2 linked regions of the Ovis aries genome follow. The protein of the gene in region 1 interacts with the protein of each later gene in a pairwise test. Links are inferred from orthologs where the notes say so. Each region holds a gene or a part of one and is shown in the gene's direction. Other genes may lie near its edges.

Region 1 (7,533 bases):
TGTGTCAGAGATGACCCTGATGCTGTCCAAAGGCCTACCTTGCACTCCATTCTTCTCCCTCCTAGCATCTTGCTGTACGGGAGCCCTGACTTATTTCTCATTTAGAACTCTGCAGGAAGAATGGTCTGAGGGCAGAGCAGAAGGCTTTGCTCTCTTGTGGAGAAGCTAGTGTGGTTTTGTGGTACTGATGACATGGAGGGGGTGGATGGTCCACATTTTAACTACCTGTCGCTTAGAGCTCTTTGGGGCATGGTTTGAGACAGCACTTTGAATGTTTAAGAATAACAACAATCTTATTCTTAGAATGACAGTCTTAAAGAGAGGTGTTTAAACCTGGGTTTTGGTGTCAAGTAGAGTAGTGGACTTAAGTTTGTATCCTGAAGACCCATCTTTTACAAAACACCTAGAAAAGCTCTGAGAGATAGTGAAGGACAGGGAAGCCTGGTATGCTGCTGTGTATGGGGTCACAAAGAATCAGACACGACTGAGCAACTGAGCAACAAAGAAAAGCTGGAGAAACATAACATTCTTTTGACCTTTTTATTTAGCTATGAAATCGTTTGGTAGAATGTACCAATCCTAAGTATGTATGTAGATCAGTGAATTTACATGTGCATATACCTATGTGACAACCACCCAGGTGAAAGTATAGAATGTTTTCAGCATTCCAGAATGTTCCCTCATGTCCCTTGGTTGTGTTTTTAATATCAGTAAAATGATGGATTCAGATAGCTAGAATGGCATCAGACCAGCTTCTTAAACTGGCCACTTGCTCCTCATCTGGAGGAGAATCTAACATGTGTGGCAAGGTTATTTATTTATTTATTTTCCTATATGTGGAATTTTAGTTTCCCAACCAGGGATCGAACCCATGCCCCTGCAGTAGAAGCAGAGTCTTGACCACTGGCCACCACCAGGGAAGTCCCATGAGTGGCAGTTTAAATTTTTGACATGAGCATACCTATTCCTTTAAGTGTTTTTTTTTTTTTTTCCTTTCTTAAGGTCAGGAACTTATTCTGGGTCCAGCTATCTGAATAGCACTTGAGTGTAACATGAGTATATAATAAAAATGAGAGGGAAGAGCATTGTACTTTATAATAAAGTTTACTGTAACATAGCAAGGGGCTAGCAGTGCAGGGCCATTAATTCCAGTAACGTGTTGTATGTGTATGTGAGAGAAGGTTGCGGAGTCAAGGTGGCTAACAGGTCAGAAAGGAGGAAAATTCACTAAGGAATAGTTACATGTTACGGAGTTTATATAGAGGCTAACTTCTTGTAATACTGTAAGAATTTTTAAAAGATGAGAACAGTAAGGTAGTCTTGAGAACTAGAATTGGAGATATAAGAAGTCTTCCAGACTGTTTTTACCACCAAGGAACTTCTCCTGTGATGTTCAGATCTTCCTCTACAAAGACTGAAAACTTTTGCTTGTCATAGTTGGTCTGCTCAGATATCAGGAATTGAATCGGAAGATTGCTGGTAATAAACAGAACCCTGGGTGCTAGAGCCTATAGGAGTTGGATCTGTTTGCAAAGACAGATATGCAGTGTCATTTTCCTCTCTCCTCACCTTTCCCCATCAGCCTTCATCATCATCAACCCATCAAGCTGCTGTCTTTTTTCACCCTTGTATCTTATCCCTTGTCTCCCTAATATTCCATGGTTTCTCTCTTCCTTTTCTCAGCATCTTATGATTCCTGCAGCCATTTTAGGCCTCTAAGCTTTTCATATAATTCTTTAGGAAACTGTAGGTAGGTCAGTAGGTAACCTATTTCCTCTGTGAGTGAGATCAGGCTGGTTTAAGAGAAGGCCCTGGCCTAAACTTGAGTTGGCTTTGGCCAGTAGTCAGCCTGCAGGCCTTCCTAGGGAAGGAACCTGCAGGACTAGGGGAGCATAGTTTGAAAGTTCTTAATATAGTGGAAGAACATAAGTGGGTTTGGGAGCTGGATACTTCTGGGCTCAAATCTCGGCCCTGTCGCTGGCTTTGTGACTTCAGATGTAACATGTAGTTGTTCTGAATGTCATATGTAAAATGAATTCCTATTTTATAGGATTATATGATTATTAGAAAATGATTTTATATAAAGCACTATAGTACTTTATGGGAGTTAAATATTGTTATTAATGAAACCAAATGAACAGTAACGTTTATAAACCACTTGCATGTGCAGAACTCAGATGTTGATAATTCAAGGAGAGTCATAAAGCTCTTTAGTGACATTTGGGAACTTACCTCACCATTGTTAAATACTTTGCTACAGGGTGAATCCATTCATCAAACACCTTGTCTTTTAAGTTTCATAGTAAGATACAGGTATATCCTAGATTGTCAAAAATATTTCATGTTGCAACAGGAAAACTTTTGGTAACAGCAGAAACACGATGTCCTCCTACTGTTAAGGAACCGGTACCAGGTGGCATTGAGGGAGCAGCAAAGTCTGTCAGTACCTGCTAGGGGTGGGTAGTGGTGGGGACTGGCAGGCAGTGGCCTGCCAAGTAAAACTAGCTGAAGAAGGTTGAGGCTTTCAGGAAGCTGATGGAATTTGGAGTCTTGGCCTGTACCAAGGTGGGGAAAGCCTTGCCTTGGTAGGACGGTGATGGGAACACTTCCATTTTCTGGGACCAAATGAAGTATGCTTCCTCTGATTGCCTTCTGCTCTACAAGCAACACCAGGCCAGGATGTGTGTTTAAGAGTGGGCTAGGGGATTCCACTGCTTTATGCCAGAGAGGGGAGGGCCAGTGTGGACCAGGCAGGAAACTAAGAGTAGTGGGTACAAAGACAGGGCCTATAGATCATCCTAGGTAGGGTTGCTGCTCCAGAGACACTTGAACTTTCCAAAAGGTGTCATTTTCTAGCATCCCTCCTATTTTCTGTACTCTGTTATTCTCTGCACTACTAAAATCACTTCTTCCTCTTGCCTGCATTAACCATAAGTAATCGGTCTGGTGGCTGGGGCTTGGGAGGCAGCAAATAGCCATTTCTGTAATATCAGCCCTAGAGCAATCACATGGGCAGGGTATGGCTAACCAGAGAATGGAGTTTTTCAGCTTGCATTCATAACTGGAAATAAAGTGCTGTCCTTATTCTCCTCCTGCAGGTCGGTGAGCTGGTAAAGGTTACGAAGATTAATGTGAGTGGTCAGTGGGAAGGGGAGTGTAATGGCAAACGAGGTCACTTCCCATTCACACATGTCCGTCTGCTGGATCAACAGAATCCCGATGAGGACTTCAGCTGAGTATAGCTCAACAAACAGTTTTGCTGACAGATGGGAACAATCTTTTTTTTTTCCAATTGCCATCTATACAGTTTTCTTACAGATGTCAAAGCAGTCTAGTTTATATAAGCATTCTGTTGCCTGTGATCTTTTTTAGACTGAACTACTCCATCCCTGGTCTTATTTACCATATTCAGGGTACGAAACTGGAGGGCTTGTGTGTTAACTTTTGAATTGGTGATTTTAGGTGGTAGCACCGTTGCCTGAGTGTATCTGAAAGGAGCGGCATCTTGCCTCCCTTTTCTCAGGCAATACAAATCAACCTGTGGAAAATTGATGGACGGGAGAGAAGTGTTGCACACCACTTACCCTGATTTATTCAATGGTTTGGTTTTCATTCTGAAACCATGCTGTCAAATGGCAATAGACTGTTCCCTTCCACCCCATGAAGTAATCATGCACGTGTGAATAGTACCCAGTGGGATTGCTTTTTCATTTATGGAACATGACCATTGTGTGACTCATTCTGACAGTTCAAATCCTGAGAATTCTGAGGACACTACTAGAGGCATTTGTCTTCCTTCCCAGTCAATGCTTCATACTTTTTCTTGGGATTCTTTCAAGCCTTGTAATTCCTTTTCCCCAAACCTGCAGATAGGTTAATTCTCAAGATAAGTGTTTATTTTCATTCCAGATGATAAGCAGGATGTGCAGAGCACTTTATTCAGTGCATAGCTTTAAGCCAGTATTGGATTCACTGCGTGGACAGCCAAACTCCCAGCTCTCTGCCATCCCTCGAGGGGTCACAGTAGGTTCACATTGCTACCGCAGTTCAGTGGACTCCTGGCTAATGGGACCCAGCATGCCGTTCTCCTGAGTGCCATTGTTCTGTCAGGGGCTTTTTTGGAATTCTTGGCTTCTACTTGGAGTGGAAGGACCAATCACTTAGAATATTCCATGGATGGTTGGGGGGCCAAATTCTGCCCTTTGCTTTATGTACAACTTGTATAAAAATCAAGTTAAGATTACATGAGTTTGGGGATAGGGTTTTAGTGCTTTGAAAAATGTTTGAACCAATCATGAATTACTTCTGTATTATTTGTTTCATATGGCCAGAATAGTGCTTGAAACACACTATGTTATAAACTGCCTTCACTTGGGGTTCTTTTTCTTTGTGTTTTAGTTTACAAACCCTTTTAAATATGGAATGGTTTATATAGGGTCAGGTGCTCCAAAGAATTGACTTCTGAGACCAAAAATGATGTAGGCTATTTAGACTACCGTATGAAACTTTTTCAAATTTAGTTCCCAGTCTAGAGGCACTTACTGGTCTGTGGTGTGATGTGACCAATAGAAACACCGTGTTCTTTGCTTTGGGCCTCATGTTAGAAAAGTAATGTATTTTTCCAGTTGTTTTGCCTAGGTTAAGATTAATTCGCATTCATTGAATGTATGCCAAATCATGATATCCCCGTGACTAGCACTGTGCCTGGCACAGCTGGCATACAGATTGTGAGAGGGAATGCGAGGTGTGCAGAAGCTCATTATATGGCACAGGGAAGCCAGCTGGCACAGGATTACATACATTACCACAAGCAAACTAATGAGTTGACGCTAATTTAATATATTTTTACCTCACACTAAGATAGTGCTTGATAAAGACATTAATACTCAACTTTGAAAATGTTGGCACAGTGCTATGCACATAGTGGGTGCTCAATAATGTTGAATGGACAGGTTTGCAATACTAGATTTAATTCCATCTGATGACTCTTAAATTTTCAGTTAGAGCATAGATACTGTAAAACCCAATACACATTAAGTCTTGTTTTCCTGAAAGTATGACATCTAAAATATTTGTAGAAAAGCTTTGTCACAGCTGATTTGAATGTTTGTGTTTTTTTTTCGCCTCTGACCTTGATACTGGCTTGTAATGTCTCTCTTCCTCATGTGTAATTTTGGTGGAACATGCAGCTCTACCCGAATCAGAAGACTTTCTCAGTGATCGGTTGTCCAGAGCCATTACACGAGTTGTCGGGTTGGTTTTGGCTGGGTTTGGCAGTCATTGGACCTTAAGAACTCAGAGGACTTCTTATAAGTATCTTCCAAAAGCAAATGCAAGAATCCTATTCAAGTGCATATGTACATTGTCACTGAGCAAAATAAACCGAAATTGGCTGCTATATTTTATATAATAATTTCTGCAAAAACCCATTTTTTTGGATACTAATATTTGACATGGTTAGTTCTTATTAATTGTTGGAATTGTTTATTGTTAATAATGCAAATAGATAATTTTAATTATCCATAAGTAACATTTCACTATTAAAGGTTTGAAATGGATGATAAGCAAACCAATTTGAAATAAAGTATGAAACATGTGCCATTGTATTATAACACTATACACTTTCTTGACAGTTCAATTAAAAAAAATTTTTTTTTGTAGCATGTATTGTATATGTTTATAGTATATGTAGTAAATAAAAATATGGCCAAATGTTTGGCTTGGTGATCTTTTGAAGAAAGCAATCTTTGAATATTTTTCACAAAAGAGCTGACTCTTTTATGCTTAGGGAGTCAGAGTTGTGTGTAGTACTCAACAGCCTATGAAAAATCATATAAACAATTATACACACTGTGGGTACTCATAAAAATGGGATCAATCATTGGTGTTACTTTGAAGGGTCTCCAGAAGTCCAGAAATAATGATTTGAGGGGAATATAAGAAGAATGATTATATAAGGGTTGGAAAGCTGGAATGATGTGAGCAGGTAATACCAAATCACACTTGGGTTCACAGAAAATATGGCTGTGGTAGGGGTCTTCATAAAGCAAGTGAGAAGTGGGCTGTTACACAATAGGTTTTTAGAATGTTAGGGGAGATATTCAGTATAACTTCCCCTTTTTTTATGTAAGTGATCCTACTTCAGTGTAGATAATTTTTAAATTTAAAAAGTTAAAAAAAAAAAGACAAAAAAAAAACAAAAAAAAAAAGTTAAAGTTTGTTCTTCCCATGCTTTCTCAAAGCGCATGTATATTTAGATGCATATGCACAGTGTGTAGATACATATACCTAAAAAGGTCACTTTATACGTCCTAGTCTTATGTTCCTGTGGATAGTGCAGTTCTAAGATGATAAGGACAAGTGTGGTCAGTCATTCAGCGGGTATTCTGCCTTGAACCCAAATGAACAGTTTAGCTACTGCTGTATACATGGCAGAATATCAACCCAGAGGTAAATAAAGGCAGCCACTGCAAGGGAGCCATGTTTGCTGTACACACACTTAACAGCAAGGTGATTTAAATATATTTCCACTTTTTTATCAATTAGAAATAAAATCTTTGTGATAGGTGGAGTTGGATTTCTTTACATAGCCTGGAGTACTCATAACAGTCTTGTATTTTGTGACCCTGATCTTCAGTTTAAAGTCTATTCCTCTTACAGATGTGAAGAGAGAAGTGGCCCTGTCCACAGATGAAAATATGAAAATAGTCTTCCAAAGTTTTGCAGGAGGAAGCTAAGAATTTGGAACTCGGCTGCTACGTATATGAAGAAAAAGAAATGGGGAGATAAGGTAGGGGGCCAAGAAGAACTGCTATTAAGAATCGAGTTTCAAAGAGCAAGACTTAAGGATTCTGTTGGGATATAGGTTGAAAGCAAGCTTAACTTGCCTCCACTCAGTTCTGGCTTAAATGCTGCTTTGTCAAGAGATGTCTTCCCTGATCTCTTAAGTCCCGTCTCAGCACTCCTCTCAGATTGTTATTCTTTCTCTGATTTTATTCCGCCTCTTCCCTTAGACTATAAATCAGTTCCATCAGGACAGGAGCCACGTCTAACTTGTTCATCATCTCCAGAGCCCAGGACAGAGCCTGACTCACAGCAGAAAATATATATTTGTTGATCGAATAATATTTTCCTTGGCAGGATTTGAGTCTGGGGAATAGGGACCCGACTGGTTACCTCTCAGCTGCTCTCTCCAGCACCCCTGGTCTTGGGTATGGTCCAAGGCCGTAGGTTCATTTTTAATTTTGGCTAAAGTAACACCGAACTCCGTAGGTCATTCTGTTTCTGAAATGTGAAATGCTTGACAAAGCCCAGCCTTGAGATCTCCAGTGCTTTCATGTTTTGCTTTGCTTTTCCCCCCCATAGGAGAGGCGAATGGATCACTTAGAGGGATGGACTGGTTGGATCTCCTTGCATTGGCCCCTCTCTAATGTCAGAGTAGGTAGAAAGTAGACAAAAGTGTCCCAAGTCTGAGGCCCAAATCCTTTTATGAGCCTTATGATACCACAACAAAAAAAAGCCAGGTACCATCCT
Region 2 (7,533 bases), on another chromosome or scaffold:
CATGTTTTGGCTAGGATGTGGAGCCACTGTTAAGAATTGCTGGTAAGACTTTAAAAGGATACAACCACTTTGGAAAGTATAGTTTGGCAGTTTCTTATAAACTTGAACATAGGTTTAATACATATCTCCAAGCAGTCCTACCTTTGAGGTATTTATCCAGGAGAAATGAAAACACATTCTGAGAAACTTTGTATGCAAATGATCATAGTATCTTTATTCATAATAGCGCATTCCTGAATTAACTTCAGCATCTATCAGTAAGTGAATGGATGAAAAATAATTGTTATGTTTTTAGATAGTGGAATAGTATATGATATATACTGGATTATTCTATTCATAGTAAATTGTAGAGCAAGCAAAACTTGTCCATAGTGACTGAAAGCAGATTAGTGATTGCCTGGGGGCATTGAGGGGCTGATTGCGAAAGGACACAGGGAACCTCTCAGGGTGGTAGAAGGAGGTTGGTAGTGAGGCCCTGCATGACTTGGACTGTGGATGGAGAATGAGTGCGGTCTGGCTGGACCCACATCCAAATGCTGCTTCCCTTTGGGTGAACGGTTATCTCAATTATCGGAAATGAATATCATTTCCTTATATTTCCAACTGCTTCTTTTTCCTGGGGTTTTGGGATCTTACTGTGCATGCAAAAGCTGAACCGTCAACCAGAGTTGTGATGGCTTTTATATCTAGACTTGGGTTAAACCCTTCTACTGCTTCCTGTCTCTCAGGATTTCCTCCACCTGGACTCTGTCCATTGACACCTCAAGTTAGTGAGACTGTCCCCTACCTTGTGCTGGATTTGAGGTTGCCTTCAGGGAAAAAAATGCAAATGTATAAATCTTACCCTTGCAGTTTTTCTGTTTTTTCAAGATTAAACTTGGGTACTGTTTCTTCTGCCTGATTTTGGTTGCTTTCTGATGTCAAATATTGTACATACACACAGAATAAAAATGAGTGCCTTGAGCAGACAAGAAATTTTAAGGACTTCTTAGATTCTGTGCTTATAAGGATTAGTGGAAGAATCAAACGGAATCAAAAAGAGAATGTAGAAGAGAAATATGGTGGAGGTGGGAGAGTTTTCAGGGTGATACAGTACAGTTTGTCAAACAGTTCACTGAGAAACTGTTTGAAACATCTAGGCTCTTAACCCCTCAGGCAGCGTGTACTGTTCTTTGTGGAATAAATATATTTGTATGTTTGGCATGAAGGTGCAGAGAACTCATATCTTCTTAGCGATATAATTAATCTGCCTTGAGAGTCCAAATGAATCATTTGGAAAACTTTTTACAACTAGTAGGACTTAAAACTGAACAAAAAAAGTGTCAATCACTTTCTATGAACTGATTAGGGAACATAATCCAACAAAATAGCAAATTAAATAGATTTTCTTTTGAAAACCCCAATCCATTAAATATCTATGAATAAACTTTTGATATTAGAGGTATCAAAACTTATAGGAAGAAAACCATAAAACTTAACAGGAAGAGATAATAGACATGAGTAAATGAGGAAATAGCATGTTCAGGATGAGGAAGATTGAATGTTATGAAGATTTCACTAACAATTGCTAGTTAGAATCTGAACTGAATTTTTGGGGTGGAGGGAGTGAAGTTGACCCCATCACCCTCAAGTTCATCTTGCTCCATCTTCATGGTTTAAGTCAAGAGTATACCTCCTATCTAATTGCCATCACTGAGGAAATCTGTGACAGTTCCCAGTGCCTGTTAGTGTACTTCTCGAAGCTGTGCCAGCCTCACAGATCTTGTATATTTAAATGTGCGGATCTATGATATCAGAATGTTTTGAAGGGGAACTGAGTGAGGAAGGCAGGCTATGGGGAATTAAATGGTCCCAAGTTTTTATTTTAGACAGTAAAATAAATATAATTTATGCTTTTTTTTTCTAGAAAATATGCAGGAAAAAAATCACTAGATTAATAAATACATGAGTGAGACTGTGGATAAATGGGTGGATGCCTAGGGGGAACAGATATGTTAAGTAGGGGTAAAACCATCTGATTATTGGCACAGAAATAGAAACTGCGGAGTCATTCAACAGGGTTAGTTAGCCCTTCACCAGATAATTTTAGTAGATGGTATATGCTATATTTTGTGCTGGGTACTGACCCTTCAACTTTGAATAAATCAGGTATTATTCCTTACCTTAAGGAGTTCATAATCTACAAAAGAATATAGACAATAAAAAGTAAAACAAACACATTGCATTTAAAATGTTACAAAGGAATTTAATGTTCCTTACCAGAGGAAAATAACTAAGTAGATAGGAGCTTTGTGACATACTTTTGATAGGGCGGTCAATGAAGGCCTTTCTAATGATGTGAAATTTAAGTTGAGACAGATAACGAAAGCCATCAACCATGGTAAAAGCAGGGAAAGGACATTCTTTGCATCAGGGTGCTTGGAATTAAGGCATCTTGGAGAAACAGAAAGGAGGCCATTATGACTGAAGCTCGGAAAACTGTGGTGGAAGAAGTTAAGGAGACAAATATATCACTTAAATATGAAATCTAAAAAAAGGATACAAAGGAACTTATCTACAAAACAGAAATATAGTCACAGATGTAGAAAACAAACCTTAAGAGTTACAGGGCAGGAAAAAAAAAAAAAAAGAGTTACAGGGCAGGGAGGGAAGGGGGATAAATTGGGAGATTGGGACTGACATATACACACTACAGTATATAAAATAATTAACCAGTAAGGACCTCCTGTATAGCGGGGGAATTATACTCAATACTCTGTATTGGCTTATTTGGGAAAATAATCTAAAAGAGAGTAGATATGTGGATATGTAAAAAAAAATTTGACAGCCACAGATCTGGAATTGGCAAATCTGAACTGGACACCTATTTTGATTGGTATTGTAAGGCTTCTAAAACTTATCAGGAGTCTAGAATTGCCTCTTTGAAATATACATTTTTAAAATTAACTGAGGCAAATAAAACATTAAAGAAACAAAAAAAGAAGAGGTGAGGAGAGACCATGTAAGCCATAGTAAGGCCTTTGGATCTTAAATTAAATCATCAAGAGATGCCAAGCAAAGGAGTGACACTTTTTAAAGACTACTCTAGGGACTTCTCTGGTGATCTAATGGCTAAGCTCCCAAAGCAGGAGGCCTGGGTTCAGTCCTTGGTAAATTAGATCCCACGTGCCACAACTAAGAGTTTGCATGCCACAACGAAGGTCAAAGATCCCAAGGGCCACAACTAAGACCCAAAAAGAAAAAAAAAATAGGACTGGCTTCTGGAGGATGAAGGATGAGAGGAAGAGAAGAGACAGATTACAATTATTAAGAGGCTAAGGGATGGTAGCAGAGTAGGTGGAGAAGAATTGTTAAATTCTAGGGATGATTTGGAGGTAGAATTAGTTGGATTTGATATGTTGGATGTTATGGACAGTGGAAAGAAGACTAATGGATTACTTTCGGCCTCTTGTTTCTAAAATCTATTTGTGTGCACTTTATTGGATCTACTGTGGGTGGTAGTAGGATAGTTTATAAGTAACGGCATACAAGCTTATATTTTTCTAGTGCTTTAAAAATACTGCCATATCTATGACCTCGTTTTGGGTTGTTTAATTTTTTTGACTGAAACATTGGCTGCTGAAATGTTTTCTGAATTTATAGTTTTCCTGAAATAGAGCTTAAGTGGCATTCAGAAGTGTTTAGACTACTTGAAATTTTCATATACAAAAAAGCAGTCTTTCCCTAAACATTGTCTCTTAAAAAAATTAGTGTGGGATGTTTTTGGGGGGGAGTATTTTATTTTCTTTTTCGAGGAATAGAGAAGGAGTTAAATTTTTTTCATACTAGTAGATTTTCATGATGTGTAAATTTTGCCTGAATGAGAGCATAAAGCCAAGTGTATTTTTATGAGAGATAAAGAGAATTTTTAAAAATTGATAGGCTGTTAATACTTAACAGAACCACTTCATATTGTAGTGATGAAGCATTTTTACTTTTGGAATAGAGTTTATTATATACTGTATAACTTAATGAGAAATTAAAATCAAAATCTTAAATCACAAATATATTCAGTAACTTTCTTGTAGAATTTTGTTACATTTGATATGAGTTTGTAATTTAGTGATTTTTCCCCCTCACCTAGTAGGCCTTTTCAAAAAATGCAATTTTTAGCATTAATCTTCAAATGGAATAGATTTGTAAGAATTGATGTATTAGTTCATCAAGGAAAAAACAAATCAGTCTTATTTATTTATTTTTCAGAGGTGGCTGGATCCAAACAAACCAATAAGGAAGCAGCTAAAGAGTGAGCAAACATATTTACTTGATGTTATAAAATATACTTTATAAATATAAAGGATTAATATAATCTGATTAATTAGAACTGCTTTTATTAATTCTAGGAGGATCTCCTTACAGTTTGAACTTTAGAGTCAAATTTTTTGTAAGTGACCCCAACAAGTTACAAGAAGAATATACAAGGTGGGTTTATGGAGCATATTTTTACTTGAAAGTATTGTCAAAACTCTTACGAAATTTTGAAATTAGGCAAAAATAGATGACCATGACATAGTTCTGAGCTTCCCTGCCAGCACACAGAATAGGTTGTGGATGTTTTAAGATAAATTTCTTCCTCCTCTTTTGAATGGCTGGGAGAGATTTAGGAGGTTGTAACCCTAGGGCTAGCTCATCCAGCTGTAAGCAGTTTCCTGAGCCATAGAGATACTAACTTTATGAAAAATGGTTCAGAAGCACTGCTGTCACTAATTGTAGTAATTAGATGATGCTACAGTTGTATTCCAGGTATTCTGCATAGTGACTGTTATCTAGTTTTTTTTTCCCCCCTTGTGAAAGCATATTCTGTATTTTACTTCCATTGAAGAGAGCATAGAATTTATTAAATGTATAACCGCTGTGTGTAGAAGTGATGGTCAGCAGGTATCTCTGTAGAGCATGCTGGCAGAGAGTGCACTGGCACATTCAGGCTGAAAATCCCCACACCACTGGCCATTTTAAGTTTGATCTTCATTTACAGTTAATCCTGTTGTCCCTTCTACTTGACATAATGTACACAAGAATGACCCAGATGAGCATTTTGATATCACATAAATGTTAGGTGAACTGTTTAAGGTAGAAACCATGGGGAATAATTACAGTGTGGTAACTGTCATTATTAAAATAACTTGAATGATAACCTTACGTATTGCTTGAAAGACAGAATTAGTGGTTTTTGTTTCTAAAGACAGAATGAAAAATTAGTATATTATACCTTCCACACAATATAAGAATATAGGTCATTGGCTGTATTCAGAATTACTCTAAAAGATAAGTGACAAATTAAATATCTGAATACCATGGACAGAGGAGTCTGCTGGGCTACAGTCCCTGATGCTGCAATTAGTCTGAAAACACTGAAACGATTTAGCACGCGCGCACACACCTAAAGCTATCTGTAGGTAGGCTGTTAGATGCTAACGTCTTCATTATCCTTTAGAATAGTTCAGTAAAGTGGAGAAGCAAAGTACTGTTGAGAGTCCTTTGCTATGTGTTTGTTGTGGGGCAGGGTGTTACCATTTTTGTAACAACTCAGGCATATAGATCCAGGATTAGGTAGTCCTAACTTTTGACACTAATAATGTCCAATATAATTTATCTTGAAAGGCAAAGTTGTATCGTATGAAAACCTTAGTTTAATATTGTAACTCTTAATCAGTCAGATTTTGTTGTCGTTAAATAATTAAAGTAATAGGATCTTTTGTCGTAATAAATAGTTCTCAGTATAATAAAACATTCCCAAATTTTGGATGAACTGCAAGGAAACTGCTCTGAATTACTGAAAATTGGGAATTATAAAGCATTTTAAAATGCACTTTTTACTGGTACATGTAACTTGAAATCAAGTAACCAAGTATTCCTTAATACATATTTATGTAATTAGTTTTTAAATGTATATGAAAAATAAAAGACCAGTAATTTTTTATTGGATTTATAATGTGTTTAATGTTTATGAAAACTTTGTTAGCATAGCAATTTAAATGTTGTCAATTGTAGCTATAGTCATAATTTACTCCACTCAAAACACTGTCTTTAAATTTCTTAATAAGGTTGATGTGTTGGTTCTTTTATAGCCTGTGTTGAAAACATAACCAGGGAATAAATGTTTCACTGATAATTAAAGTCAAACTATCTTCATGAAGTAGAATAAAGTAAAATCACATTTGGTAGTAGTAGTGGAATTGTGTTAAAGTCTTATCAGTCTAAAATATGTTTTTCCTAGAAATAATGCATTATTTAAAAAGTCCTTTATAGTGTAATGTCCTGGAATCTTGTAACTGGTGCTTTTTGGTAAAATGAGTAAATGGCAAATTTTAATTTTATTACCATTTATACATCAAGGATTTTCTACTCTAATTACAAGTTAGAATCACCATAAGGGAGCTTTAAAACATACTGATAGCATGGCCAGACCCCTAGATATTTTGATTTAATAGGTATCAGATGAGACCTGGCTTCCAGGTGATTCTATTAATAATATGCAGCCAGGGTTTAAAAAAAAAGACTCCTTTAAACCTTTAGTGCTTGGGTAGCCTTCTTGTTATGGTCATGAGTAGGGGTAGGACACCTTTAGACACAGTGGCTCCGTTTTAAGGACCGGTTTAAGCCCCACAAAAAGGAAGTCTACCTCTGTACCTCCTTGCCTTGAGATTCTTTTTTGGATTAGTGGTTAAAAAAAGAAAAAAAAAAAGGAGTTACAGACCTTTCATCAGGTTAAATGTCATTTGTATTAACAGGTGCTGGCATAACTAGAGTTGGCATTTTCTTAGGGGTCATTACAATACACTGGAGAAGGCAATGGCAACCCACTCCAGTACTCTTGCCTGGAGAATCCCAGGGACGGCGGAGCCTGCTGGGCTGCCATCTATGGGGTCGCAGAGTCAGACGCGACTGAAGCGACTTAGCAGCAGCAGCAGCAGCATTACAATACAAATGACATTTCTTTTGTACCTTTTTAGTGCTCAGTATGTTCAGTACATAGTAGGTGTTCAGTGCATGATCTGTTACTATATTACTTTTACAACTTGAACAGATCATCTCTACATTTAGCTCAGTCATTATTAATCTGTCTTAAAGGTCTTTAATTGTCTTTAAAAATTGGGCTTTTATCACCATATTTAGGGCCCCTGGGATACATATACTAGGCAAGTGATATTACTTTCTTTTTACAAATAGAGAAACTAAGGCTCCACCAAATTTTAAGTAATTTGCCAAAGATCATAGGCTGGTTTAGCTTAGGACTTTAATTCTGGTTTTTATTCTATCAGTTCTTACTGCTCAGTGTGTAAATCAAATTCAGGAAGCATAGATGTTATTTGTATAGGATTTACAGTATTATATCAGGGATATACACATTTCAATCTTAACTATAAGACTGTTTCCCACTAGAAATTTTTAACTTTTAATTATGAAATCAAGTAAACCAGATAGAAATATGTTGTCTTGGGTTGAGTACATGGGTAATATTGTAATAGTATGTATTAAGCCTCACAAGAGTTT

Evidence for each region.
Region 2: the proteins of CRK (region 1) and PTPN4 interact in binary tests that used the Homo sapiens proteins (3 or more experiments, as listed by UniProt). The link is inferred for Ovis aries from reciprocal best matches to the Homo sapiens genes CRK and PTPN4.

The regions. Positions count from the first base shown.
Region 1 is NC_056064.1:22,458,790-22,466,322, reverse strand, and holds part of CRK (adapter molecule crk), read left to right. Parts: intron 1-3,098; coding exon 3,099-3,236; 3' UTR 3,237-7,533. UniProt on the Homo sapiens protein: Involved in cell branching and adhesion mediated by BCAR1-CRK-RAPGEF1 signaling and activation of RAP1.
Region 2 is NC_056055.1:185,170,326-185,177,858, forward strand, and holds part of PTPN4 (tyrosine-protein phosphatase non-receptor type 4), read left to right. Parts: intron 1-4,242; coding exon 4,243-4,285; intron 4,286-4,361; coding exon 4,362-4,461; intron 4,462-7,533. UniProt on the Homo sapiens protein: Phosphatase that plays a role in immunity, learning, synaptic plasticity or cell homeostasis. Regulates neuronal cell homeostasis by protecting neurons against apoptosis.